Linked DNA regions of Xenopus tropicalis. The protein of the gene in region 1 purifies or fractionates together with the protein of each later gene. This does not show direct contact. Links are inferred from orthologs where the notes say so. Each region holds a gene or a part of one and is shown in the gene's direction. Other genes may lie near its edges. The genes, in order: prkar2b, pde4dip and akap9.

Region 1 (3,655 bases):
GTGGCACGTCGGTATAATTGGCTCCCCAATTTGACATTGGCAGTGGCAAAGGGCGGCACATATCTATAGTCTATCCCCTAGTGTGACAACGTATATACAATTGCAGCAGACTCACCATCTTGTGGCCTATATTAAGGCGATTGGCACCTTGGACAAAGGCATCATAGATGCTATCTAAAAATCATGAGCTTCATTACCTAGCTCCACTACTACTATGCTACTTTAGCGCATGAGACACAATAGGAATGCCGTGTTGGTCCGTGTCCCGCTACCAAATACGGGTTCCTGTGCCACATGTGCGGACCAGTCTCTCGACTCTATGTACCGGATGGTGCTTTCTTGGGAAATAATTTTTGATCATGTCTCCACTTGCCTATTGCGCACCATAGCCCGGGTTCCAGCCTCTAAGCCTGCACTTCCATCTGCGCTTCTACTCGTCAGCTGGCCGTTTACCGTGGAGCCGGTATTCTTATGTGCCTCAGGCTACGGTGCTGCCTTACAATGTAAGTGCACCGAAAATCTTTTGGTGAGTACAGTGCCCCCTTTAGCGATTTAGTATGCCACTGCCCTTGCCCTATATGCTGTAACTCTTTGGTCCGATTGCCACGATGTCACTAGGAAGCGCTTGGAGCGCCTAGCATATTTCGGTATGTTTCGAGGTGGTATTCCTTGGTGGGATTCCGTGCTGATACTTACCTTCTCCCTTTGCTCTTCACTGTACCATTTATTTGGACTTACCTTTACCGGAGATGGGTTTCTTTCTTTCTATTTACCTGGTGTCACGTACGTTCACGTTTCCTCTTGCACCGATACTCGTTTTCCGACTTCTACTGTTTTATTTGTTTTTTCTATAATTATTTTATTTTAATTTTCCCAACAATATTCGTTTGTGTTTCGTTAGTATTCGTCTTATGTAATTCTTTCCCTGTGTTCACACCCAGCACCTACCCCTTTAGTATACTTCGGAATTTTGTTGTTTGTGCGTATAAATTTTCTTTGCTAATGCCTTGATTATACATTGTCCGTATCAGGGTATCGATGTACTAACACCTTATAATTAGCATTTTAATGATATGTTAATGTGATGGGTGGGGTTGGTAGTTTTGTGCACTATACACGTCATGAAAGTTTTTTCACTTCTTTGTTTGATTTTTCCCGCCATACACAGTATTTATGTGTGTTTCTCCTTTGCTGCTACAACTTTGACAAAGGCTGGTGTAACAGCCGAAACGTTAGTTCACTCCTCTGGCAATAAAAAAAGAATTTTTTGTTTTGTATAAGTCCTGTGTGTGCGACTTCCGTGATTTTTTCCATATATATATATATATATATATATATATATATATATATATATATATATATATATATATATATATATATACATATTACAGATAAGATTCTCTTTTTTTTTTTTTAAACAGAGGAACCTATGATATTTTTGTAAAATCAGATGGAGTTGTGAGGTGTGTTGGTGCCTATGATAATCGTGGAAGTTTTGGGGAATTGGCATTAATGTATAATACACCTAGAGCTGCTACAATTGTTGCAACATCTGTTGGTTCCATATGGGGTTTGGTAAGTATTTGCATGTGCTTATTACAAATTATACTTGAAGACATTATGTGTGTGTGTGTACACTGTAGCCACTTTTTTATAGCTCAGTTAATTACATTAATATTTATAACCGTGATAAAACAAATTAAAGAGATTTGAGCTGACACATCATAGCTGTTATAGCTGTGCACATAAAGCTAATAAGAGGAAGATTTTTTTTCCCACTACACAGCATGAGATAAAAAATTCATGGTCATTTTTCAAGCTTTACAGGGGTCCTACAATTTTGGCAGACTCTCATTCCACCTACTTAAGCAACACCTGCTTAATCATTTGTTGTGGCCCTGCTGGTTTAACCCCTAGCTTTCTGAAGAAGAAATGCTAAGTTGTTTTCATGCTGTTGTGCAGTAGGGAGGTGGTAAATCCCTGAAATGTCAGAATGCAATCTTAAAGAGGCAAAAACAAACAGTAGCACAATTCTAACATCCCATTGCTGTTTTAGTATTTAAATACCTTAAATGACAGCTGCTTCTCTATAGGGTTGTTAACATTATAAAAGGTCATGAATCTAGTCATTTGATTTACATAACATCCTCTTTTCTGTAAGATTTGCATTGCACAATTTGGAAAATAATCTGAAAAATGTTGATGCAATTGGATTTATACTGTAAAAGTGCCAAACTAAAAACATAATTGTAAAGATATTGTGCTGACTCTGTTCACTCGTCTTCTTCATCTAAGTTAGGCCTCTTATTTTTATTCTTTTTATAGGGCCTACATCTTTCACAGTATTTACAGAGATTGTTCTTCATTTGCATCAGTCCCATTAAATACACATGCACACACGGCCAGTTTCTAGGAGTCTAGGAGAAAAGCCACAAAGATATGGGAAAACATATAATATTTATGCAGATAGTAATTTGGTCAGATTCAAGGCGAGAAACCCATGTGTTGCAAGGCAGCCATGCTGACCTTTGTTCTACTATGCTGCTCCATTCTGCGCCTAACCACCTGCATAACTATACCATACAATGTACAGTTGTTAAAAGGTCTAATGCAGGACAATGTACATGTCATGTGAAAGTACGCCCCATATAAATTTCTTTGTTAGCATATGTAGAGATATAAATAACTGATCTGAAACAGTATATAAAGGTGTTGAAAGGTATTGCCCCATTTGGCAAAAACAGCCGCAAGTAGGAGGTTTTCTTTTTTATATTTTTCCACTCCTCGCTGTATATGTTTTTCAGCTCTACAGTGTTTGAGGAGTTTCTTGCATCCACAGCTTCACAATCTGGTCTTTGGCCATTTCAGAACCCTCTATTTCTATTTTTTCATCCATTTCTTGGTGAATTTACTGGAATATTTATGGACCTTGCCATGCTGCAAGGTCCACTTTCTGTTGAGCCTCTGTCTTTAGGCAGATGGTTTCAAAATATCCACAAGCACACTATGATACAATGAAGAATTTAGACTGAATGTTATGATGGTGAGATGCCTATGCCCTGATGCAACAAATGAGCCCCAAACTATGTTGTCATTTTCACCACAATGTTTACAGTTGGCATCAGGCTTTTCTGTAGAAATGCTAACTTTTGTTCTCACCAGAATGTTTTAGTCTTGTCTGTTGAGAGCACATTTTTCTTTGAATTCTTGTGCCTAGGTACTGCACTGATGATCTTTCTGGACAGCTAAATTTTCCTCATGGGTTACCTCCCATGTAGATCTAGTTTCTGCAGCTTCTTTCTAATGGTAGACTTATTCACTTTGACATTAATAATGGCAAGTGCTGCTTGAAGGTCCATTCTAGGATTCCTATAAATTTCTTTTTGAATCTTGCATTCAGTTTTCAGGTAGTTGTTTGAAATCTTCTCCAGATGATGATCCACACAGTGGAATGACTGATGTCCAATTGTTTGGTGATCTTTTTAAACCCCTTCCCAGACTCATAGGCATCTATAACCTTCTTTCTAAAGGCTTCAGAGAGACGCTTTTAATTTTGACACAGTGATATCACACAGTTCAGCAATAAAGAGCAATCAAAACTGTATGCCTGAGGTTTCAATAAGACAGGTTTCTATAAGATTTTTCACCTGATATG
Region 2 (3,755 bases), on another chromosome or scaffold:
AAGCAAGGAAATAATCTATATGCTTTTCTAGCTTGCAATCAAAGGGACATTACATTGGCTTCTATTTCATTTTTCAAAAATCCCTTAATATTTGTATTTTGGTGGTTGTTATAATATTTTTGAACATTAGTATCCCAGAAAGCAGTTTATTGGATATACAATTTGGTGGTGTGTGGGGCTTCCAACACAAATAACCTTCATGCTAAAAGTGTATATTTTTTCTTTCTTATCCTTTTTTGACCCTGTGTGTTATTTAAGAGGATTAAAGCACAGCTAACATTACATTCTGCTACATTTGTTAATAAAAGCTTATTCTGCCAGGGGCAAGGGTGTGTGGTATTACGGACTGCTGCATGTGGTTGTGATTGCCATAAGCAGCCAGCTACATTCTCTAATGCAGACTTTAGATACTGTGTGGGTTTACCTACTTATCTTTAAACACAGCCATGGTGCACTGCATCTTTACAATTGGTGCCAACCAGATTCCTGCATAGAGAAAATCAAATTCAGGGTGTTCACTGAATGAGTGCTTATGAGAGCCTCTCAGGGCATTTACTGAGCGCTTGGGAAAGACAAAAATATCTTTATGTAAAAAGAAATCAAATGCACCCGCCTGTGAACTAGGACAAAAGTACTTTTTAGCAGTAGATAATATGCTGTTAAATTACAATACAGAGGCCTCTATTAAATGAATCCCCCCCCACCCGGCCTTGGGCTTTTTTGTATTTACAACAACCTTAAATTCTATATGATTTCACTTTAGTGGAACCATGATATGAATTGTGTTTTTTCTTCTATAAGCAATTTGGGTTTTGATTGGTTTTACTAATTCCTACATTATCAAGCCTGCCCAATCTTTGTACAACCTCTGCAAGGTTTGATAGGTCACATTGCTCAGGGACCCTCACATGGACAAGACTGGCCATGCCAAAGTTTGGGGTGGTATGGTATTGTTCACCTCTGAGTTAACTTTTTTGTATGATGTAGAGAGTAATATCCTGAGACAATTTTCAATTGGTCTTCATTTTTTATAATCTTAGTTTTTTTCAATTGTTTCAATTTTTGTTCCGCAGTTCTCCATTTTGGAGTTACCTTAGCAGTCAAGACAAGGATATGGCATGATTTATAGCACAGAATGTTTTGTTTTTTTACCAGACTTCATTTAGCTTTGTCATTTAGTCTGATGAAATAATTCTATTTTTTCTGGGCAAGTAAGATACGCTGTCAAGGCGCACAGCTTTAATGAAATAACTAGGGGAAAAGGGAAACTGTGCTAATGGCACTGCGCATGCCCGGCATTTGGATCCCCTCACAACTACATCTCCCGGCCCCCCTTGCGCGGGTAGCAGCCTCCATCTTGCCTGCGAGTGAGACAGGGAAGCAGCTCTAGCCGGCTAGCGGTACCAGATGGGTGGGGACCTGAGATGCTGCGGCTGATGACAGCTCGGCAGGGAGGAATGAAGGCGCTCTCTGTGCGGGTGTTTGGCTGAAAGGCTTCGGGATAGCGCTAGCCCGGGAATCCCAGGAATAACAGCTGGTAAAGAGCCACGTCAGTGACAGCTCTATGTAACCTGGCTGCCGTGCCCTCCCCGCACTGCCCCATTCATTATACATGGAGGCAGCTAGGTGCTGCTCTGGCAACAGTGCTGGCTGCGCAGGCTCGGTACATGCTGCAGGAATGGCAGGCTGGCTGTGAGTGAGTTCATGTGGGAAAGGCCGGAGTAATAATGAAGGAGTCCTGCCGGATCTGCGGCCGGGAGCTGTGCGGGAATCAGCGCCGCTGGATCTTTCACACCGCCTCGAAGCTCAACCTGCAGGTGCTGCTGTGTCACGTCCTGGGCAGGGAGGTGCCCCGCGATGGCAGAGCCGAGTTCGCCTGCAGTAAGTGCGCTTTCATGCTGGAGCGGATGTGCCGCTTTGACACTGTCATCGCCCGCATCGAGGCGTTATCCATTGAGCGGCTGCACAAGCTGATTTCCGAGAAGGAGCGCCTCAAGCACTGCCTGGCCGGCCTCTACAGGAAGCATAACAGCGAGGAGGATGGGCCAGACACCGGGCCAGACAGCAGACCAGCGGCAGAGGGCGGCACAGTGGACATATCCGAGCTGCCAGATGTGCGCTACTCGGCTCTGCTCCAGGAGGACTTCGCCTATTCTGGCTATGAGTACTGGGCAGAGCTGGACCAGCAGAGCCAGGAGCCGCAGCACTGCCAGCACACTGACACCGGGGGAGTCCGACCCAGGCGCTGCCGTGGCTGCTCCGGCCTGAGAGTGGCAGATTCTGACTATGAAGCAGTCTGTAAGGTACCCAGGAAAGTGGCCCGGAGCCCCTCATGTGGCCCTTCAACCAAGGGCTCTGCCAGCTTTTGCACTGAGGAGACCATGGTCACCCAGCCGCCACCTCAGCCACTGCCAGAGGCCAAGGCACCACCAGAGGGAGATGGGCTCAGATTGTCCTCTGGTTCCTCTGCTGAATCCCTGGCTACTCACATGGATGCTGCTGCTACTCCCTCTCACAAAGAGGAGGAACCCTGCAAGCCTCCTGGGGATGATGCTAAATGTGACTACTGCTCCATTAATCATGTTGCCCACTCCCCCGTCAATGGTAGTAGAAGTGAATTTGCCTTTCTTTTGGCTAAAGTGTTTAACTACAAGCCTGTACAAATCCCTCGTGGTTGCAGGATACCTGTAAAGTCTAGGCTACATGACTTCAAACCAAACATCATGGTGGCCAGTGGCCTGTCTGCCACCCCCTCGCCTGGGCTTGGGTTCCTGGGCATCATTGCAGAATCCCCTCCCAGTAATGCTCAGGACTTTGTGCCTGAACTTTATGATGTGCAAGACCTATGGCAAGATGTCTATGAAGAGTATATACCGCTTCACACACAGGTATATATACTGGCAAATGTGCAAAATTGTAAAGCTCCTGTTCTATAGCCAGATATCTGTTTCAAATGTTCCTTTTTTTTGTCCAAAATCTGCCCCATGTGCATGGGGACAGACAATTGCAGTAAGTTGCAGGGTTCGTTTCGGTGGTCACAGGCATTTTTTCTCATCAGTGGAGGATCGCCTCAGTTTGATCAGCCTGAAACTCTCATTTAGGCCCTTCAGCTGCCTGAAAGTATGTCATGCTCCTGCAGTCCACTGAAGTCCTCCGCTTTTCCTTCCCAAGCACCTTCTCGTAGAACAATTTCTACACCAGACAGTTATATGCATTATTTATGCATTAATATATCCATTTAAGATTAATATATCCTTACTAGAGGTCTGTCATAACGGGCTAGATTCTGATTCTATATATATATATATAATATATATATATAATATAATATATATTATAAAGCAGCATTGGGTTTATTATTAGGGTAATGGTTAGGCTGAATTCTATCCTAAATTTACTTTACTTGGCTTTATCCTTCTTCCCAATAGAGTCCAACTTTTTAAGCATAACAGGCTTACTTACATGCCTTGCTATGTTCCCACTAGTATTTAGATTGCTGTGTGTACATTGGCTGCATCCTAAACTCACTAGGATCTGCTATTGGTAATTATGAGTTCCCATACTACTAAATTAGCAGGTCGTTTCCCTACGGCGCCCCAGTTATTAACCCACTGTCTACCTTGGCCCCCTGGGATTTGTGCCCTGCCAACAAGAAAAATGGAGCCCCAAGGTAAAAAATATGCCCCTTGCATGAACAGCGACATCCATGGCCACTTCCTAGCTATGGCAAAGCCCACCCACAATCCAGCCAAATC
Region 3 (3,755 bases), on another chromosome or scaffold:
TTGATTAGCATTTTTTAAAATTTGCACTATAAGTTTGATTGAGGTGTGTTTACTAATCAGAATTGAGAAATTACTACACTACATATATATTTTTTTCTCTCTTTCTTTCTTTACCTCTTTTCTCTCTTCTTTCTTTGCTCTTTTTCTTCCCTTCCCTGCACATTTGCACCGGTTCACAGCATTAATAAGACTGCTACCATCCCCTCGATGTCTAAATACATTCGGTTTCTGTAACCCTTTTATTGAAAGTGATAAAGCTACCAACTGTAAACGGAACTTAAACACTGTTTTTCAGTAAAATGTATTCTCACTGTAAGCACACTGCCTCCAGTATCTGCATATTTGTATTTATACCCATGAGTAATTACTGCAATATTGCTTGTCAACAATAGCAACAGTAACCATAGTGGTCATACGCAGATCTCTTTTCTGTAGAGCTACTTCTGAGTTCAAGCCCATCACATATGGGATAATTCTTTATGTTTACCTTAATGGAACATAATATGAAGCCTCCTACAAACACTAGCTAAAAAATACGCTTTGATGCTATATACAAAGGTACTTGAACCCATAAACACTCCTTTGCATCTTGAAAAGAACACCAGTGTGCCCATTCAACCTGTTCTGACTCTGCACAAATGAACTGTACAAAATAATTCCAGGGTTCTCTTATAGGTTTTGTGAGCTAAATTACTATGAGCTAAAATTCCTCCTCATACAGCGATCACATATTGCTTTGTCAGAGGGGCCCACTGGGAGTTCTGGGAGTGCTCAAATAACTGGAATGTAAGAGGTGGGTAGAGACATCATCAATAAATACAGTTCAGATAGAGTAAGTACCGTTGCATTAAAGTAGTTCTGGTAAGAGTAATGGTACCTATATGATGCACCATATTCACAGCAGGGATTGGCCCTTGCTAAATGTTTTCAATGCAAAAACATTAGATGATTGGTTTGCATTGTAAACCAACAGCAATAACAGAGCATAAAGGTAAACTTGACAGATGTGTCTTTGTCTAACCTCAACTACTATATATCCAAAGTCATGCTATTGTTATAGTATACCATTTAAATTTTAGAGACAAAATAACTTTTTTAAGTAATAATTACAATTTAAAGAAAATATTACACTTAAATACCACGTTGTAAGAAAAGATTTCTCATTATAAGGACATGTGCTGGTTAAGTATAGCTCACATGCTAGATTGTCTTTGTTCTGTCTGTTTTGCACACAATGCCTTGGTGTGGGCAGTGCCCCTTTAAGTGTCTGGGAACTGCAGCAGCGCAACAGCAGCTGTCAACTCCTAGTTCTGCCACTGCTGCAATCGGTGCCGCCCCCACTGACTTCTCTCGCCGCTGCCGGGCGCTGGGGTGACGTCAGAGGAGTGCGCCGAATGTTTACGTGGAGATGGGAGAGAGCGGTAGGCGCTGTAGCTAACGCTGCGCATTGCTGTGTGTGTCTGTACAGGCGCAGGCATGGAGGAGGAGGACCAGGAGAGGAAGAGGAAGCTGGAGGCCGGCAAGGCTAAGGTAAGGGAATGTGGGGAGGCTTTGTGTCTGTGTGTGTGTCTCCCTCTGACAGCTGTCACTGGGGAAGGGGGGCTTCCATTGTTTGCATATTCCTGGCGTGCTGTGTCTGTGCGAGCTGTCCCGCCGCCCTGTTTGTCTGGGTGCCACCCTGCCATTCTGATGTGTCTATGTCACTGGCTCCATGTGTCACCTTCCAACCTCCTGTGTGTGTGTATGGCACCTTACAGCATTCTGTCCATGTGTCACCTTCCAACCTCCTGTGTGTGTGTATGGCACCTTACAGCATTCTGTCCATGTGTCACCTTCCAACCTCCTGTGTGTGTGTATGGCACCTTACAGCATTCTGTCCATGTGTCACCTTCCAACCTCCTGTGTGTGTGTATGGCACCTTACAGCATTCTGTCCATGTGTCACCATCCAACCTCCTGTGTGTGTGTATGGCACCTTACAGCATTCTGTCCATGTGTCACCTTCCAACCTCCTGTGTGTGTGTATGGCACCTTACAGCATTCTGTCCATGTGTCACCTTCCAACCTCCTGTGTGTGTGTATGGCACCTTGCAGCATTCTGTCCATGTGTCACCATCCAACCTCCTGTGTGTGTGTATGGCACCTTACAGCATTCTGTCCATGTGTCACCATCCAACCTCCTGTGTGTGTGTATGGCACCTTACAGCATTCTGTCCATGTGTCACCTTCCAACCTCCTGTGTGTGTGTATGGCACCTTACAGCATTCTGTCCATGTGTCACCTTCCAACCTCCTGTGTGTGTGTATGGCACCTTACAGCATTCTGTCCATGTGTCACCATCCAACCTCCTGTGTGTGTGTATGGCACCTTACAGCATTCTGTCCATGTGTCACCATCCAACCTCCTGTGTGTGTGTATGGCACCTTACAGCATTCTGTCCATGTGTCACCATCCAACCTCCTGTGTGTGTATGGCACCTTACAGCATTCTGTCCATGTGTCACCATCCAACCTCCTGTGTGTGTGCATGGCACCTTACAGCATTCTGTCCATGTGTCACTATCCAACCTCCTGTGTGTGTATGGCACCTTACAGCATTCTGTCCATGTGTCACCATCCAACCTCCTGTGTGTGTGTATGGCACCTTACAGCATTCTGTCCATGTGTCACCTTCCAACCTCCTGTGTGTGTGTATGGCACCTTACAGCATTCTGTCCATGTGTCACTATCCAACCTCCTTTGTGTGTGTATGGCACCTTACAGCATTCTGTCCTTGTGTCACCATCCAACCTCCTGTGTGTGTGTATGGCACCTTACAGCATTCTGTCCATGTGTCACCATCCAACCGCCTGTGTGTGTATGGCACCTTACAGCATTCTGTCCATGTGTCACCATCCAACCTCCTGTGTGTGCATGGCACCTTACAGCATTCTGTCCATGTGTCACTATGCCTTGCCATTAGCCACATTGTGCACATGTCACCCAAACATTCTACCTATGAGCCACCTTGTGCATGTATCACTCTATGTACCCTGGGGCCTTGTACCATTCCCTTCACTTGTGCATGTCTCTGTGCATCATTGTGGTACTTGCTTCACATCACTTTGCTGCTTGGTGCAACTGGTTTCTTGTGTCTCTGTGTGCTTTTGGTGTGTCTGGATCCTGTTTGCCTATTATGTTAAGTGCAGTGTATGTTTCACTTTGTGGTATTATATGTTTGTGTGCAGCTTCTGTGTCAGTATGTGCACAAAATGATACACATTCAGTGGAATACTTAATAGTTTTTAAACCCTCAACTATACAAATTGACTTCTATTTAGAATGTGTATCGTGCTTAAATCACTTTTTTTATCGGTGTTAATTTTACATGTATACCATGGGTAAGTGTTGTAGGGTGCGTAATTGTGTATCTGTTGAAGAGAAATACTTAAAAATAAACACACATTTATACCCACATATATGCCAAATGGCAGGTACATAGAATGTATGTGTACTTAAATAACTTTTTTCATTGGTGTAAGGTTTTTTGCATGCCATGGATTAGTGTTGTAGTGTGTGCATACAGAATATAGGTGCGAGTGTATGTACTTGTGTGTCTGTTTTCTTCCTATTTAGGTATACTTTTAATCAAGACACATTTATACCCACAACTGTATAAAATGGCTTGTATTTGGAAAGTGTATTTTGCTTAAATCACTTTTTCCATTGGTGTCAATTTCACATGTATACCATGGGTTACTGTTGTAGTGTTTGCATT

Evidence for each region.
Region 2: the proteins of prkar2b (region 1) and pde4dip purify together in Homo sapiens (affinity purification with mass spectrometry; 4 studies listed by BioGRID and IntAct, counting the BioPlex papers as one, with this or other methods). This does not show direct contact. The link is inferred for Xenopus tropicalis from reciprocal best matches to the Homo sapiens genes PRKAR2B and PDE4DIP.
Region 3: the proteins of prkar2b (region 1) and akap9 purify together in Homo sapiens (affinity purification with mass spectrometry; 3 studies listed by BioGRID and IntAct, counting the BioPlex papers as one, with this or other methods). This does not show direct contact. The link is inferred for Xenopus tropicalis from reciprocal best matches to the Homo sapiens genes PRKAR2B and AKAP9.

The regions. Positions count from the first base shown.
Region 1 is NC_030679.2:76,660,075-76,663,729, reverse strand, and holds part of prkar2b (cAMP-dependent protein kinase type II-beta regulatory subunit), read left to right. Parts: intron 1-1,421; coding exon 1,422-1,575; intron 1,576-3,655. UniProt on the Homo sapiens protein: Regulatory subunit of the cAMP-dependent protein kinases involved in cAMP signaling in cells. Type II regulatory chains mediate membrane association by binding to anchoring proteins, including the MAP2 kinase.
Region 2 is NC_030680.2:118,160,417-118,164,171, forward strand, and holds the start of pde4dip (myomegalin), read left to right. Parts: upstream 1-1,325; 5' UTR 1,326-1,727; coding exon 1,728-2,888; intron 2,889-3,755. UniProt on the Homo sapiens protein: Functions as an anchor sequestering components of the cAMP-dependent pathway to Golgi and/or centrosomes.
Region 3 is NC_030682.2:31,455,292-31,459,046, forward strand, and holds the start of akap9 (A-kinase anchor protein 9), read left to right. Parts: upstream 1-1,322; 5' UTR 1,323-1,476; coding exon 1,477-1,530; intron 1,531-3,755. UniProt on the Homo sapiens protein: Scaffolding protein that assembles several protein kinases and phosphatases on the centrosome and Golgi apparatus. Required to maintain the integrity of the Golgi apparatus. Required for microtubule nucleation at the cis-side of the Golgi apparatus.